Linked DNA regions of Canis lupus familiaris. The protein of the gene in region 1 interacts with the protein of each later gene in a biochemical or structural test. Links are inferred from orthologs where the notes say so. Each region holds a gene or a part of one and is shown on either strand. Other genes may lie near its edges.

What was found.
Region 2: of the proteins of SERPINF2 (region 1) and ELANE, one has a biochemical effect on the other in vitro, tested with the Homo sapiens proteins (2 studies listed by BioGRID). The link is inferred for Canis lupus familiaris from reciprocal best matches to the Homo sapiens genes SERPINF2 and ELANE.
Region 3: the proteins of SERPINF2 (region 1) and PLG form a complex in vitro, tested with the Homo sapiens proteins (2 studies listed by BioGRID, with this or other methods). The link is inferred for Canis lupus familiaris from reciprocal best matches to the Homo sapiens genes SERPINF2 and PLG.

What each region holds. Positions count from the first base shown.
Region 1 is NC_049230.1:45,825,075-45,827,772, forward strand, and holds part of SERPINF2 (alpha-2-antiplasmin), read left to right. Parts: intron 1-57; coding exon 58-261; intron 262-750; coding exon 751-893; intron 894-2,698.
Region 2 is NC_049241.1:58,268,192-58,272,039, forward strand, and holds ELANE (neutrophil elastase precursor), read right to left. Parts: upstream 2,486-3,848; 5' UTR 2,466-2,485; coding exon 2,396-2,465; intron 2,265-2,395; coding exon 2,108-2,264; intron 1,773-2,107; coding exon 1,631-1,772; intron 1,188-1,630; coding exon 957-1,187; intron 864-956; coding exon 615-863; 3' UTR 597-614; downstream 1-596. UniProt on the Homo sapiens protein: Serine protease that modifies the functions of natural killer cells, monocytes and granulocytes. Inhibits C5a-dependent neutrophil enzyme release and chemotaxis. Promotes cleavage of GSDMB, thereby inhibiting pyroptosis. Promotes blood coagulation.
Region 3 is NC_049222.1:50,051,658-50,055,307, reverse strand, and holds the end of PLG (plasminogen precursor), read left to right. Parts: intron 1-2,444; coding exon 2,445-2,590; intron 2,591-3,209; coding exon 3,210-3,371; 3' UTR 3,372-3,636; downstream 3,637-3,650. UniProt on the Homo sapiens protein: Plasmin dissolves the fibrin of blood clots and acts as a proteolytic factor in a variety of other processes including embryonic development, tissue remodeling, tumor invasion, and inflammation. In ovulation, weakens the walls of the Graafian follicle.

The DNA.
Region 1 (2,698 bases):
CATTGGTGGCTCTGGAGCTCAAGCCCTTAGGAACAGCTTGTGGCCTTTTCTGTGTAGGATTTCCCATCAAAGAGGACTTCCTGAAACAATCAGAACAGCTCTTTGGTGCCAAGCCCATGAGCCTGACCGGAAGGAAAGGGGATGATCTGCTAAACATCAACCAATGGGTGAAGGAGGCCACAGAGGGGAAGATTGAGGATTTCCTCTCAGAGCTGCCAGATGACACAGTGTTGCTTCTGCTCAATGCCATCCACTTCCAGGGTGCGTTCCCCCTCTTCTCTGGCCCTCTACCCCTGTGGCCCCTATTCCTGCCTTGTAGGCTGAACTGGGCTGCAAAACCTTTGTTCTGAGGGTCTCTCTTTCTCCTCAGGGCTGGGTCAGGAGGCAGGGAGCTTTCTAGGTTGTGGCTTGGGGGAGGGTAGGAAACAGGTAATGGTGTGCCAGTGAGGGGCCTCAGGAACTGGATGAGAGAACCCTAGGAGGAAACTGAGTCTGAAAGGATTGAGGGTGGGGTTGGGGGTGCTCCTGGGAGCATGACAGGACATAGGAAGAATGCAAGCCCAGATTTCAAAAATGCTGCAGGGAAGAAACCTCAGATCAACTGGGAATCAACTGGCACAGTGCCCCTTGGGCTTTTGACTTCTACTTTTTGTCCCTTGAATGGGTTCTGGGTGGGATGGAGAAGAGACTAGTGGTGTGGAACCCACCCCTGTCCCAGTCTACGTGACCCCTGCCCTCTGCTGGATATAGGTTTCTGGAGGAGCAAGTTTGATCCAAGCCTCACCCAGAGAGACAGTTTCCACCTGAACGAGCAGTTCACGGTGCCAGTGGACATGATGCACGCCCGCACGTACCCCCTGCGCTGGTTCCTGCTGGAGCAGCCTGAGATACAGGTCACCCTTGACTGCCCAGGCTGGGCCTGGCTGCTGGGAGGTGGGGCAGGGGGGGCAGGCTGTGGGACAGGTACAGGGGTGGAGGGGGGTGTGCCCCACCTCCCTTGCAGTCTTGTCCCTGAGACAGGTGGCTCTGGAAGGTCACATTATGCCCTGATCCAGAGGGACTGAGGTTCCAGGCTCTTTGAAGTTCAAGAATTTGACAAAACTATATTAGGCATTTGCCACCAGAACACACTAGCACAAGGGAGACCAAGTCCCTGCTCTCAGGAGGAAAGACACACACAGTACACGGACAGACATAAATCATGGAATAATTTCACATAGTATAACTGCTATGAAGGAAAAAAATAAAGTGATCAATTAGTGACAGGGGAAGGTATTTTATTTTATTTATTTTTTTAAAGAAGTTCTTTTTTTAATTTTTTTTATTTATTTATGATAGTCACAGAGAGAGAGAGAGAGAGAGAGAGAGAGAGGCAGAGACATAGGCAGAGGGAAAAGCAGGCTCCATGCACCGGGAGCCCGACGTGGGATTTGATCCCAGGTCTCGAGGATCACGCCCTGGGCCAAAGGCAGGCACTAAACCGCTGTGCCACCCAGGGATCCCTGGGGAAGGTATTTTAGATAAAGTGGTCAGGGAGCAGTCTATGAGGAGGGGCCTCAAGTGGAGAACCAGATGATTTTTGGTCAGAGGGGTTTATTACAAGGGCCCATGGATTGGTCAGGCTGCAAAGGAGCCACCCAACAGCTACAGAGCCACTCAGGCCTCAGCATCCTCGAGCCTGGGAGACGTGATCTGACTGTCACAGTGCTCCTTGGAAGGGAGGATCTGGTTGCAATGGATTTGTCAGTAACCTGCTGGAACATTCTGATTGGATAGAGTACTATGCCAAGCGGTCTCAGGTGAGGCCTCCCTTGCTTCTAGCCTAAATGTGGTCCTCTTGGCTTGAGCATGGACCCCTGGGCCCATCCACTGTGGCAGAGATGGCAATGTTGGTTAGTTTCCCAAGGCAGCATGCCACAGGCCTCAGCGACTCCTGAGAGGGGCTGTGGGGGCAAGGCAGACCCTTGGAGCAGCGTCCAGCTTCTCTCGCTTTCACCCCGACGGGCAGACTGTCTTGTTCACCTCCCCACCTGTTCTCTTTGTGCTGCTCCTGCCCTCCAGGCTGTGTCCTGCCCACTCTTTCTTCACCCATCCTCTCTGTCCCTGGCCTCTGCCCTCCTCTTCCTCACACACTCTGCAGGCTGACCCAGACAGCCAGATGTGGTGTTCCCCACCACCCCCGCCACCCCCAAGGTTCCTGCTCCCTGGCTGCTCTGCCTAGAGACTAAGAAGTCTCACTTGCCAGGGATCATCATGCCCAGTGCTTCTCATACTCAAGTAGCTGCAGAAACCCCATTCACATGACATCTTACCTCAGATCACAGTATCATATACACCCTAGGTGAAGGTGTGGGGGGGAGAACCACCTGTTGCAGTGGCTCCTCTGTAGGACCTAGGGTGGTTTGAAAACGAACAACCCAGTCCATTGTACACGTGGAGACACTGAGAGGCAGAGCTGGTTACAGACGAAGAGAGGGAAAGTCCCCCCTTTATTGAGCACTGCCCATGTGCTGATACTCCACTAGAAGCTTTAAAAGGGTCTCTCTCTCTCTTTTTTTTCTCTCTCTCACATGTCAACCTACAATGTGGGCAGGCAGTGTTACTCCACTTCACAGGTGAGGAAGTGGGGGCTCAGGGAGGCTGAACACACACCTGAGAACAATGGACTGGAACTCCTGCTCCATCTGTCTCAGAAGCC
Region 2 (3,848 bases), on another chromosome or scaffold:
GGTACTTCCTGCAGGGAAACAGGCTCAGGGTGGGGGCGCCTGTGGGGCTCGGCGGGTGAGCATCTGCCTCTGGCCCAGGGCGTGACCCCGGGTCCCGGATCGAGTCCCGCCTCGGGCTCCCCGCACGGAGCCTGCTTCTCCCTCTGCCTGGGTCTCTGCCGGTCTTCCTCTCTCAACCTCTCTGTCTCTTTGTATGTCTCTTATGAATAAATAAATAAAATCTTTTAAAAAATAAAGAAAATTTAAAATTAAAAAATAAACAAAATTAAAAACTTAAAAAAAAATTAACGGAAACGGGCTCAGGGAAGTTGACCGGTCACAGAGCTGGGGCTCCAGCGTGGGCTCCCGGGTGCGGCTTCACCCCTGCCTGGACCTGTACCTCGTCACCTGTCGGGGACACAGAGGGCCAGCCGGGGGCCCTCGGGGCGCACCTGCCACAGCGCAGGCCTCAGCAGCTGCCGTGGTTCCGTCCGTGAGCCTGGGAACCAGGAACGGCAATCGGCGCCCCTTCCCCGATGCCCTGAATTGGCCGCCCTTGGGGGCAGCAGGCTCACGAGACGCCCCAGCCGCGCCGCCACAAACACCCGGACACGTTCTCACAACCAGGGAGGGCTTTATTGGGTGGGACGCGGGCGATGCGGGGCGGGCGGCGGCGCGCGGGCGGCGCCTCGTTCGGGGTCCTGCTGGCCGGGGCGCGCGGGCGGGAGGGCGGGCGGGCGGCGGATGATGGAGTTGATCCAGTCCACGAACTGAGCGACGGGGGCGAAGGCGTCGGGGAAGAACCCGGAGGCGCAGCTGCCGCGGATGAAGGAGTCGATGCCCTGGATCAGCCCGTTGCAGACCAGGGGCCCCCCGGAGTCCCCCTGTGGACACGGACGGGGTTGGCAGGCCGCGTGTCGGCGCTGGGGGCCGCGAGGGGGGCGCGGGGAGGGCACCCGGGGGCCCGGGGTACGTACGAAGCAGATGCCGGCCCGCCGGCGTGGCACCAGCGTGCACACGTTGGAGCGGCGGCACAGGGTGGTCACCACGGTCACGTTGAGCTCCTGCAGGATCCTGGGCGGCGGCTGGGCCGTGCCCAGCTGGCCCCAGCCCATGGCCAGGCACTGCACGCCGTTGCCCACGCCTTGATTCTGGGCGGGCAGCCTGGCCACCTGCACGTTGGCGTTGATGGTGGCCGAGCCGTTGAGCTGTGGGGGGTGGGTGGGGGCATCAGGGTCATGACCTCCCCTCCTGGGCCTCAGTCTCCCCAGATGCGCAGTGGGAGCAAGCACAGGGGCTCTGAGCATCTCCGGACGAGCCTTGAACGCAGCACACGGTGGGCACTCGATGGCACACACCGTGGGCAGCAGCAATGACAAGACAGCCCTTGTTCTAGAACCTTCCCAGGGAATAGTAACTCCGCAAGCGGTGGGGGAGGGAGGGTTTCATCCTAGAGGCTCCCGGTCCACGTGCTCGGCCACACGAATTACAAGTTTGTTGATGGGCCGCGGCTCAGCGCCTCTGGCGCCACCTCAGTTCCCAGAGCCCCGGGGGGGGAGGGGGTCCTCCCGTCCAGCGGTGGAGGCCGAGGCACCGGGAGGGACGTGGCAGGGACAGCGCCCCGACCCCCAGGCGCCCCTGCCCAGCTCACCTGCAGGAGCACGATGTCATTCACCAGCCTGACGGGGTCGAAGCCGTTTTCAAAGACCCGCTGGACGGCGAACAACTGCCTGGTGCTCTCGCGTTCCCCCAGGTCATGCGCCCCCAGCACCACCACCACTGACCGGAAGTTCCTGCGGCAAACAGACGGCGTGATTCGAAGTGGCCCTGGCGGTGGGGACACCCCAGGCCTCAGCTGTGCCCCCCGAGCCCAGGAGGGTCTGCACGGACCTCACCCTCTGGGCCCGGCAGGGGAGGTGCACTAATGTGAGCACGGGGGGGCACAGGGAGGGCACGGGGGGCACGGGGAGGGCACGGGGAGGACACGGGAGCAGAGGGAGGGGACGGGGAGCACGGGGGGCACAGGGCAGCCCTGGGAGGACCTCGGGGCCCTGGTGTCACCGTGTCCCCATCACACAGAGGTGCAAACGAGTCTCCAGGGAAGGCGGCGGGAGCCGGGGGCACTCACAAGCCATCCACGCAGTGGGCCGCCGACATGACGAAGTTGGGGGCGATGAGGGTCCCACCACAGAAGTGACCTCCACGCCGCTGCAGGGACACCATGAAGGGCCATGCATGGGGCTGGGCCGGGCGGCCACCCACGATCTCCGAGGCCAGAGCGGGGCCTGAGGACACACGGGGGCGGTGAGCGCCGGGGGACCCCGGCCCGTGGCTGTCGCGGGCCCCAGGGCTCCTCGCGGGCTCAGCTGAGATCAGGGGACCGAGGACGAGGGTGCGGGCGGCCGCGCCCACTCACCGGGCAGCAGCGTGGCCAGCAGCAGCAGTGGGCCCAGGGCAGGGCCGGCGGGCACTCGGCGGGCGGTCATGGCCGGGCGGTGGCGGTGTCGCGGCCCCGGGCCCCCCGCCCCTCTTATAGGCCCCGCTGGCCGTTGCTGTTGCCCCACGGAGGGGCCAGGTGTCCCCACTTCCTGTGCCCCCCGGGGGTGAGGGGAGGCGGGGGCGGGAGGCCCGGAGGGCGGGACGTTCCCAGGCTGTCACTGTGAGCGGGTCCCCAGGGCTGCGCAGGACGGGCCGTCCAGGGGCGAGCCGCCGACCTCCACCTCCACGCTCAGAGGGGCGTCCTGTGACGTCACTGAGTCCGGCACCCTGCGCCTGACGGACCTTGGCGGGACCCCTGGCTGCCTCGGTTTACCCAGGGCTGCGAGCACTGCCCCGATGTCCCCTGGGGGCGGCAGGGCGTCTGGGCCCCCACCTGAGATGCAAGCTCGCCCCAGCCCCCCAGGTCACAGCAGGAGGGCGGCCGGCAGTCCCCCAGGCCCGCTCCCCCATCCCCCCCACCCCTGCTCCACTTCCCGCCTCCCCCAGGACTCCGCCAGCTGCTGTCGCAAGAGGCAACGTCCCACTGGCTCGAGGCTCGGGAAGGCACCAACGGATCCGGGGGCGCCCAGGCTGGGGCCACCGTGGGGCCCCCACTGTCCGGGCTGGGCAGATGCCCCTGCCACCCGGAGCCCGCGCTCGGTGTCCCCAGGGTCCCAGGGCCCCATGCCCCCCGCCCCGTCCTGCCCCTCCCCTCCCGGCGCGACCCCCACCCTCGTCCCTGAAGGTCCCTGGAGCCTTGTAAGCCCCCGAGGGGGGTCTGGTGGGTGGAGTGGGGGCAGCCGAGTCCCTGGAGGCGTACCCCCAGCTGCATCTACTGAGCACCCCTGTGTACTCTGCGCATCCATGTCGCGGGGGTGCAGTGTGTGGACTCTCCTGCGGTGGCCACTCGCCTGCTGCACCCGTGCAGGCCGCAGACTGGACCCGTGTGCACTCCGTGTCCCCGTCTCTACAATGCGCGTGAGCCACAGGCTCTGGGGGCAAAATGAGGATAAACGGACATGGGTGACAAAGTGGCATCCTCGAGGGTCACTACCCGTTAGCCACCTGTGGGGCAGGGGGGTGGCCGCCGCGAGGGGCGCAGGCCGGCGGGGCTCTACGTCCACTCGGGACCCCGGGGATGCGGGCACCTCACCCGGCGTCACTCAGGCCACAGTAAGAACGTCCTTGGGGGCGCGGGGACCTCGAGTGTGGGGACTGCTGCCCCCCCACCCCCGGCACCGCGGCCCCCTCCCCTTCTGGGTCCGACCCCTCCGGAGCAGCCTCAGGGGCCTTCCAGCTGCGGGTCTGCGTTCCCGTCACGGGCCGTGGACGCCCCCCCCCACGTCCTCACTGCCCCCTCCCTGGGCACGAAGGGTCCCCCTGGGCTTTGT
Region 3 (3,650 bases), on another chromosome or scaffold:
ACCCCTTGAAGCCCACCTGCCGCCCATCTGTTCCACCCACCACCCACGCTTTCCTCACCACCACCCTGTGCCAGGCTCCCCCATCTATGCTGGCCTCACCCTCACGGCCCTGGGAGACCATTCTCAGTATATGCACTGGACCAGGAGGAGTCAGCAAGCAGATGTCCTGCCTGTTAATGGATTTTCTTGGATGTCAATAATAAGCTTCTCAGTGGGAGCACTCCTGTTCTCCCCTTTGGTCTCCAGGCTTTCCCTGACTTTGATATTTCAAGGCAAGGAAAGCATTCAGGCCCAGGGGCTCATTCGGGTTCACCTCGCATCAGCTTTCAGGGCTCCTACTTCTCCCTGAAATCAGGGCTTCCTCCTTGGTTCACCTTCAGCCTCCCCGCCCTCAGAAGTGCCATCTCCTCTGTGGCCACCAGATGGCAGCACTTCTACACAGACCACATCGATTTCCTGTCAACTGGGGGTAGATTTTGTCACCAGCATCAGGATGTAGCTGGCTCAGAAAGCAGATGCAAGAGCAAGACGTTTGGATAAATTAATTTTCAGCAAAACATTCTGAGAAGGCTGGTCCCTCCATACAGACTCAATTCGAGTAGTGCACCCCCCCACCCCAGCCAATGTTTCCTTGGTCACTTCCTCCACCAGGCCTCTGCCCAGCCAGGCCTGGGACAAGCCTCTCCTTCCCTCTTATGTGCTCCTGTCAACTCTGGATCCAGTGTGAGTTTTCCAAACTCAAGACAGTTATCCAAATGTACTTAAAGTCTTTGGAGAAGAAATAGCACCTCATCTCTTGGCTGTTCCATGCTGGCAAAGATTTTTTTTTTTTTTTTGCAAAATGCATTAAAACTGGCCTTGCAGAATTGGAAAACTGATTTATTTGTGAAAACACGGAGACGTGCCCGGGTGTGTCTATCTGGAAAAGCAGCATTTCCTCTGGCAGGTTTGCAAGTGTTCCATTTTGATTTGCCAACGTGAAAAAAAAAAAGTAGTTTTTCACAAAAGAAGAAATACAACGAGTAAAACAAGCACACGAGACAGTGTTTACTCCTCCTGATTGGAAAAAGAAGTGCAAATTAGGACATGAACTAGGACAATTTCCACCTATTTTATTAGCAGGTACTTAAAAAATGTTAAATACTCAAGAAGCATGGAGCAAAGTGGCCTTTTTTTTTTTTTTCTAGTGAAATTTTACATTGTCATACCCTTTTAGGAAAAATTAGGCAATGTTGACTGGGAGCCATAAACATGTCTATATAATTCCTGGGAAAACAGTGTTAAGAAAATACTAAGGAATATAAATAAAATGCATGAACAAAGATGTGGAAAGTTGGAAGCTGCTGTAGGAGCCCAGGAGCAGGGGAGTGAAGACTTGGACAATGACGTCACAGACCTAGTTTCAAATCCCAGCTCCTCCAACTAGTTGCTGGGTGATCTTGGGCAAAGTGCACGGCCCCTCCCGGTCTCGGTGACCTTCTCTGTGCGACAGGAACGAACAGAAATATCCATTTTGTGCAAGGGTTAAATGAGATACATCACCTAACACACTTGTGCCTGAAAAGGTTAATTCTAGTACATGATCGCCATTCTTTATGTTGTGGTCAAGTATGTATATAATGTAAAATTAGCTATTTTAATTGTTTGAAGAGTATAAGTCAGTGGCCTATAGTAGTCGCCATGTTGTGCAATCACCACCACTGTTTGCAGAACACTCCCCTGACCTTCAAAAGGAAACCCCACACCCCTGAAGCAGTTACTGCCCATTTTTTAAAAAATTTTTTTGTTTATTTATGATAGTCACAGAGAGAGAGAGAGAGAGAGAGAGAGAGAGAGGCAGAGACACAGGCAGAGGGAGAAGCAGGCTCCATGCACCGGGAGCCTGACGTGGGATTCGATCCCAGGTCTCCAGGATCGCGCCCTGGGCCAAAGGCAGGCGCCAAACCTCTGTGCCACCCAGGGATCCCGGCCCATTAAAATACTAATTATGAAGATTGTAGTGTTCTAAAAAAGCCCTTATTATATACTGTTGTGTAAAAACAGGATATAAAATTGTGCTATATGATATAAGTAGTAAAGAAAAAAAAGCATCTGAAAGTGAATAGATGTTATGGTAACACTTGTATTTCTCAATGTCTCTTTCCTATTGAAAAATGTATCTTTATAGTTAAAAAAAAAGAAACAAAAATAACAACAGATACCCCAAAACACTGTAAAGAAACTCAGGTTATTAAATCCAGATCTTGGGAACATGAAATTTTATATATCTATACCTCCAAGGGTTAACATGAAAAACATTCTGGTAGTATCAGGAACTGACTTCTTGCTTTATACAACCTCGTGGACAACCAAGAGATCTGTCCTTGCTGCTCTGTTGTTCTAGAATTTTCCTTGTGGGCATGTTTTGGATCCAGTAACCATTTCTTTAATCTTTTTAAACACAGGCACGTATGGTGCGGGGCTTCTCAAGGAAGCCCAGCTGCCTGTGATTGAGAACAAAGTGTGTAATCGCTATGAGTATCTGAATGGAAGAGTCAAATCGACAGAGCTTTGCGCGGGGAATTTGGCTGGAGGCACAGACAGTTGTCAGGTAAGAACAAAGTCAATCTTCTGCTGTCCTGTCTTGGCCTCTTAGATCTTTCAGCCCCCAAAATGGCAAATTCAGGAAGGCTTTGTCAACTGAAGGCCGTAGTCCAAATGCTACCCAGAAACATTTGAGGTTTGTCTCTGAATTCTGATTGAGCTCACCTAAGGGGATTTCTTGGTGAGTTCTAGATCAGTTGTAAGGGAGTAGGTGAGTACCATCACTACCACAGCCCCCACATCTTCTGGAGAGTATGCTGGTGGATGGCCTTTCTGGTAGAGAAGTGAGGGAGAGTGTGAGACAAAGACCAACTACACCCCCTTTGAAATTGCTCTTGGATTTACTCTGCATAAGGGAAGCCCCAAGGCAGGAAGGGGTGAGTACCATATTCACAAGGGAGCTGTTCCCCAGCAACACAAACTGGTGCGGTTGTGTTAAATATGCTTTGTTAGGTGCTGAAGCACAGCAGATATTCAAATAATATATTAGTAAGTTCCTTTCTAATTGGAAAAGAATGTTCAAATGCTGGGGAAACTTATACTTGGATAATAGAAGGATGACATCCCATAACAAAAGGATGGTGGTTTAATCCTCACATGGACTTTTTTTCTCTCTCTCTGTATAGGGTGACAGTGGAGGACCTCTGGTTTGCTTCGAGAAGGACAAGTACATTTTACAAGGAGTCACTTCTTGGGGTCTTGGCTGTGCCCGTCCCAATAAGCCTGGTGTCTATGTTCGTGTGTCAAGGTTTGTTACTTGGATTGAAGGAATAATGAGAAATAATTAGTTGGATGGGAGACAGAGTGATTCATCAACATACCTAGAAGCCAGAACACGGGTAGGGAATTTAGCATGCTCAGAAATAATTGACAGTAATCAAATCAAGACACTGTACTTATACCATCTACTGCCAAACCTCAACGTTTTTTAGTATTATTGTGGATAAATGTTTCCCGTGCGTGGACTGTTGGATTCTGTAATAATAAGTGACACATCTATAACATTTATTGAAAATAAACTCTGTACTTCCTTTAAGTTTTTTTTGAACTTCATTGGTTTCGTGTTC